Saccharomyces cerevisiae S288C: one gene and its partner. The protein of the gene in region 1 purifies or fractionates together with the protein of each later gene. This does not show direct contact. Each region holds a gene or a part of one and is shown in the gene's direction. Other genes may lie near its edges. The genes, in order: CPR3 and MOD5.

The links.
Region 2: the proteins of CPR3 (region 1) and MOD5 purify together in Saccharomyces cerevisiae (affinity purification with mass spectrometry, with the first as the bait; one large-scale study listed by BioGRID). This does not show direct contact.

Annotation. Positions count from the first base shown.
Region 1 is NC_001145.3:108,723-112,050, forward strand, and holds CPR3 (peptidylprolyl isomerase CPR3), read left to right. Parts: upstream 1-2,279; coding exon 2,280-2,828; downstream 2,829-3,328. Other genes in the region: DUS1 (tRNA dihydrouridine synthase), read left to right, coding at 84-1,355; CFF1 (Cff1p), read left to right, coding at 1,525-2,130; TRAPP subunit BET5, read left to right, coding at 3,143-3,328. UniProt on the Saccharomyces cerevisiae protein: PPIases accelerate the folding of proteins. It catalyzes the cis-trans isomerization of proline imidic peptide bonds in oligopeptides. This isozyme is required for growth on lactate at high temperature.
Region 2 is NC_001147.6:835,811-839,460, forward strand, and holds MOD5 (tRNA dimethylallyltransferase), read left to right. Parts: upstream 1-1,863; coding exon 1,864-3,150; downstream 3,151-3,650. Other genes in the region: TPO4 (Tpo4p), read right to left, coding at 1-621; RIM20 (Rim20p), read right to left, coding at 3,274-3,650. UniProt on the Saccharomyces cerevisiae protein: Catalyzes the transfer of a dimethylallyl group onto the adenine at position 37 in the anticodon loop on a specific subset of tRNAs both in the cytosol and the mitochondrion, leading to the formation of N6-(dimethylallyl)adenosine (i(6)A).

The DNA of each region.
Region 1 (3,328 bases):
TTTTAGCTCCCAAAGTGCTATCGTCTATACTATCCAAGTTTTTACAGGCTCGCAATAAGCTCAATAAACAATATCAACTGCATATGACTGAACCTGCCCTGAGTAGCGCTAATAACGCTCTGATGCAAAAACTAACAGGTCGACAACTTTTTGACAAGATCGGCCGTCCTACTAGGATCGTTGCACCAATGGTAGACCAATCCGAATTAGCATGGCGTATTCTATCGAGAAGATACGGTGCAACCTTGGCGTACACTCCCATGTTACATGCAAAATTATTTGCTACCTCGAAGAAATATAGAGAAGATAATTGGTCTTCCTTAGACGGCTCTAGCGTAGATAGGCCGTTGGTTGTACAGTTCTGCGCTAATGACCCAGAGTATCTATTGGCGGCAGCTAAACTGGTGGAAGATAAATGCGATGCGGTAGATTTGAATTTGGGCTGTCCTCAAGGCATAGCTAAGAAAGGTCACTATGGGTCATTTTTGATGGAAGAATGGGACCTTATACACAATTTAATCAACACCTTGCACAAAAATTTGAAAGTTCCAGTTACAGCAAAAATACGTATATTTGACGACTGTGAAAAGAGTTTGAATTACGCCAAGATGGTGCTGGATGCTGGAGCTCAATTTTTAACCGTCCATGGGAGAGTAAGAGAGCAAAAAGGACAAAAAACTGGTTTAGCTAACTGGGAAACAATCAAATACCTAAGAGATAATTTACCTAAAGAAACCGTGTTTTTTGCTAACGGGAATATCTTATATCCTGAAGATATTTCACGTTGTATGGAACATATCGGTGCTGACGCAGTGATGAGTGCTGAGGGGAACTTATACAATCCTGGTGTTTTCAATGTAGGCCAAACTAAGAACAAGGAGAAGATATTTCCACGCGTAGATAAGATTATCAGAGAGTATTTCCAGATTGTCAAAGAATGCCAGGAATCTAAAGCCTCCAAGACAGCAATGAAATCACATTTTTTTAAGATTTTAAGGCCTTTCTTGCCGCATCATACTGATATTAGGTCAACACTTGCTACTATGAATGCAAAAGCCACGTGGGAAGAATGGGAGGAACAAGTAGTGAAGCCTGTCGAAAAAGTAGTGCAAGAAATATTTGAACAGCCAGATATCGCTATTAAGGATGAAATTACTATCGGCGAAAAGCAATCATGGGGTGGTTCATATAGAACTGTTCCATACTGGAGATGTCAACCATATTTTAGGCCTGTTAACGGTATCACAGGTGATAAAAGAGTTATGCAAGGCCTCATAGATGAAAGCGTGAACAAGAAACGTAAAGCTGACGTGCCATTAGAATCTGCTGATAAAAAGAAGGACGTGAAAGCTTAAAACCTGATAAAATCCATGTATATTTCTTTGCCTTTTCTATTCTTTTCTCTAAGTATAGTTTTTATGTATGTATATTAATTCAAACAGAAAATGTTCAACTCCGTCTCCATAAGAAAACTTCTTTCAATTTGAACACTTGTATATTCAATCAGAATTCGCCATAGAGAGCATGTCAGCCAATGTACAAGAAGCTGCAAATGCAGCTATAGAGCCGGCCAGTTTCGTTAAAGTCCCAATGCCTGAGCCACCAAGTAGTTTGCAACAATTGATCAATGATTGGCAATTAATCAAGCATAGAGAAGGTGGGTATTTTAAGGAAACAGATAGGTCTCCCTACACCATGGAAGTAGAAAAACCAGTAAATGGAGGCTCAGGTAATACTGAAATGGTAACAAGAAATCAATCTACGTTGATCTATTATCTACTAACCCCCGACAGCCCAATTGGGAAATTTCATAAGAATATTAACAGGATCATACATATCTTACAAAGAGGCAAGGGTCAATACGTTCTAGTATATCCTGATGGTCAAGTGAAGTCATTTAAAGTTGGTTTTGACTATAAGAATGGAGAAGTCTCGCAATGGGTTGTCCCCGGAGGTGTGTTTAAGGCAAGTTTCCTTCTGCCAAACGAAGAATTTGACAACGGTTTCTTGATTAGTGAAGTAGTGGTACCAGGTTTTGACTTTGAGGACCATACCTTCTTGAAGGGTGAAGATGAACTGAAACATCTTGTGGGACCTGAAAAGGCAGCTGAGTTAGCTTTTTTAGCTTGAACTTTTGTACTTAGTTATTATCAAAATAACCAATAAGAATTATTTTAGTCCTTTCGCACCGCGATTATTAATAAACTCAATATTTTTTTCCTATTTAATTCCATAAAGAAACAAAAAAAAAAGCAAGCAACTACAAAGGTCTACTTACCATGTTTAAACGTTCCATCATTCAACAGTCCCGCTTATTCTCCAATTCTGCTTCTAGACTAGGTAAAAAAGTGTTCTTTGATCCTGCGGTCAATGGAACCAAAATCGGCAGAATAGAATTTGAATTATATGATAATGTGGTTCCTAAAACTGCTGAAAATTTCAGAGCCTTATGTACCGGCGAAAAGGGCTGGGGCTATAAAGGTGTCCCTTTCCACAGAATCATCCCAGACTTCATGATCCAAGGTGGTGACACTGATTTGACTAACGGTTTTGGGGGCAAATCCATTTACGGTTCCAAGTTCGCTGACGAAAATTTTGTCAAAAAGCATGACAAGGCAGGTTTGTTATCTATGGCAAATGCTGGACCAAACACTAACGGTTCTCAATTCTTCATTACCACTGTGCCTTGTCCATGGTTGGATGGAAAACACGTTGTCTTTGGTGAGGTAACCAAAGGTATGGACATTGTCAAAGCAATCGAATCATACGGTACTGCTTCTGGTAAACCAAGAGCTGAAATCGTTATCGAAGAAGCTGGTGAGTTATGAAGGCTTATATGAAGCTAAGGTCTCTCATATTTCTAGCATATAAGGTATGCGTTATCTCTATGTCTACGAATTATATCTGTTTATAGTGTTTTATTTTATATAGACTCGCTGGCTCATAAAAAATCAACCAACTTTTATTCTGGTTTGCCTCAGTCGAAATGTTGTCCTTTACTATTGACTAGTGTTGAAGAATTTCCGGATCTTATATTTTCGACAATTGAGTTCCAACATACATTACAGAAAAAATACAAAAAAAAAATACAGAACTATCGTAAGATAATCTGCTTTTGATATAAATCATAAATCAGTGGAGCATGGGGATATATTCATTTTGGATCTTTGATAGGCATTGTAACTGTATATTTGATAGAGAATGGACATTGGCGTCCAATAGCGCAAGTGGTACAATAAACTCCAAACAGAATGAAGAAGATGCAAAACTTCTGTATGGTATGATATTTTCGTTACGCTCCATTACACAAAAGCTCTCCAAAGGGTCT
Region 2 (3,650 bases), on another chromosome or scaffold:
ATCCAGGATGGTACCTGATCCAACGGATAAGGCGGGGGATGCAAAGACACCTGATAAAAACCTTAGGGGTAGAATTATTCTCATGTGGCCATTGGATAACCCAACACCCATGGTGAAAAGCATTGACACAGGTAGGGAAAATAAATAGACAGGCTTACGACCAAACACTTCACTTAATGGAGCGCCGATGACAGTCGATAAACCCAGAAGATAGAAAGTTAAACCAGCAAGCGCCAAAGTCTGACTAACGTGATATCTTTCTACCAATTCTGGTACGGAAGAAACATATAGGGAACTACCCATTGTGACGACCAAACAAAGAAAAGCTGAAGTCATAGTAGTATACCATTTCTTCAAAGAGGACCAATTATGCGGATTGTCTGGGTCATCGGGCCCGTCCCAATCGAGATCTCTTGGGTCAATTGGCTCGCCCCCTGTCATGTTATTGGAATCTGCATTCGGTTCTGATCTTTTTTCGTCCTCTGTTATTGACCCTGTCGAAGAAGAAGTCGAATCCAAGTTGCCGCTATTAGTTACATTTTTGTCCAAGGCTTTTGGTACCTGCTGTATGTTTGTTCGAGGATCTGAGTTAGATTCGGTTTTTGTCAAAGAAGAAGGCATTAGTAAAACTTAAAATATATGTATACGATGTCTATGCTTCTTTGTGTGTGTATGTGTGTGTATAAGATGGTATCTTTATTCTGTAATTTTCAGGAAAGTGATGACTAGAAAATCGATGTGTCAGGTACAACAAATTGACAACCTATAACTTTCCATACAGGCGAATATATATATACACATAAACACATTCAAGCCTCCGGTACCGTTTGCTCTGACAAGGACAATTAGCATGTAAGCACGAGTGCGGGTATGCAATCATTTCAGTGTTTCCTTCATTTGGCATAGTGTCGTAACACGGATTTAAGGTGAGCCGTCAGGGGCTTTTAAGCGGAGCCCCTGCAGCTTCATGAAGACGGAACCGCACGGGCCTATTACCTCGGGGATAGATCAATTATCCGAAGCGGGTCACAACCCGGAAATAATAACCACTATGCCCGACCGTACCGACGTGGCACTATTTTTGGGATCCGTGGAAGTCGGCCATTAGTGGTAATCGGCGAAAACAAGTTTATTGCAGCTAAAGCACGCCATACGGTTGATATAAACAGCAATTAGGCACTTTTTCTCTTATTATTCATATGCCTTATTGGCTTGTGGCTTGTGGCTTGTAGCCTATGCAAATGCATTTGCTGATAGCAGCATAAGAAAGTTGGGAAGAAACGCTAACTGTACTTTTTATATCCAGAGTTCATTAGTTGATCTTTTACCCCAATAATTTCTTCCACTTGCGGCCTGCTTCTTCGCATTTCTCCCATTCCGGGCCGCGACTCCGTAGTTCTTACAGAAACAGCCGCCTCCATAACCATCTATGATAGGAAAAAGATGGACAAACAGGAAAAGAGCTAGGGAGTATAACCTGATTCCTGACATGTATAGGATTCGGGTAATTTTGAAATACGAAGCTCTTTGCATTCCGAGACCGGTTTAGGAAGATTTATTTACATATCTACTTGCGCTATTGTGGTCATGCCTTCGAAAGATAAAGAGCGAATTTTGCTCGTATAAGCTAAAATCAGGTAAAAGTTCCTTATGTTGCTGCTCCTCGATGGCAACGTCGATCTAAGATCTTGATTACTGAATCAGGCGAAAGCACACGTTCATCTTTCGCTCATCGGAAAGAAAATTAAAACAGAAAAAAATTCTAAAATGGCAAAAAAGAAGAAAAGCTCAGTGAGGGCTGTATAGTTTATTAGATAAGCTACTATACGTACATATCTTTTGTAAATAGAACCAAAAATCTTCATGCTAAAGGGACCGCTTAAAGGTTGCTTAAATATGTCTAAAAAAGTTATAGTGATTGCTGGTACAACAGGAGTAGGAAAGTCTCAGTTGTCCATACAATTGGCACAAAAATTTAATGGCGAAGTTATCAATTCGGATTCTATGCAGGTATATAAAGATATTCCTATTATAACAAATAAACATCCGCTTCAAGAAAGAGAGGGCATTCCTCACCATGTAATGAATCACGTAGATTGGTCAGAAGAATACTATTCCCATCGTTTTGAAACTGAATGCATGAACGCTATTGAAGATATTCACCGGAGGGGTAAGATACCCATCGTTGTTGGGGGTACTCATTATTATTTGCAGACTCTTTTCAATAAGCGGGTCGATACGAAATCATCCGAACGTAAGCTCACAAGGAAGCAGCTCGATATTTTGGAATCGACTGACCCTGATGTGATTTATAACACACTTGTGAAGTGTGATCCTGATATAGCTACCAAATACCATCCTAATGACTACAGGAGGGTACAACGAATGTTGGAAATCTACTATAAGACGGGCAAAAAACCAAGCGAGACATTTAACGAACAAAAAATAACTTTGAAGTTTGATACCCTATTTTTATGGCTATACAGTAAGCCGGAGCCACTTTTCCAAAGGCTTGACGATCGTGTAGACGACATGCTAGAAAGAGGCGCCTTGCAAGAAATCAAGCAATTATATGAATATTACAGTCAAAATAAATTTACGCCGGAGCAATGCGAGAATGGTGTTTGGCAAGTTATTGGCTTCAAAGAATTCTTACCGTGGCTAACCGGGAAAACTGATGACAACACAGTAAAATTGGAGGATTGTATAGAAAGAATGAAAACGAGAACACGTCAATACGCAAAAAGGCAGGTAAAATGGATCAAGAAAATGCTGATACCTGACATCAAAGGCGATATATACTTACTGGATGCCACTGACCTTTCTCAATGGGACACGAATGCATCTCAAAGAGCGATAGCTATTTCCAATGACTTTATTAGCAATCGACCCATCAAGCAAGAAAGGGCACCTAAAGCCCTAGAGGAGCTGTTGTCTAAAGGCGAAACTACGATGAAGAAATTGGACGATTGGACACATTATACTTGCAACGTCTGTCGTAACGCAGATGGTAAGAACGTTGTAGCTATTGGCGAAAAATATTGGAAAATTCATTTGGGTAGCAGAAGACATAAATCCAACTTGAAAAGAAACACTCGTCAAGCTGATTTTGAAAAATGGAAAATAAACAAGAAGGAGACTGTGGAATGAAAATATTAGGAAAAAGGAGTTTATCCTGAGTGTATATATCTACATAAGTGAAGCTGGGTTTTGATAATGGAAAGGGAGGATGACAAGCTCAAAATATACTTTATAGATGAATGAGGACAGGTATCATTGGTCTTCAAATGTCAAACTCTTATCAAGCCTAGCTTTTTCTGCTCTTCTTGCTGTATCATATTCCTGTACCTCATTGTACAGATTGCTGGTAGAAGTAATTAAATTTTCGTAAAATGCTGTGCCGGCACTTAAATTTTCTTTCACCTCATCAAGCAGTTTGAAGGAATATCTCAGATCTTCAATATATAGCTCTCTGGGATCTATTCTTACCATTTTCTTTGGTTCAATCCCGCTTCTGCCGGGGTTATTCTTCTTACTTAGGTTTACTTCCTCAATAAGTTTGATATTTTCTTCCTTTGTACTATTAACGTATCTTAAATCTTCGTCAAAGTATTTTAAATGGCCTATGAAAATGGGTTCAAAGTCGACTG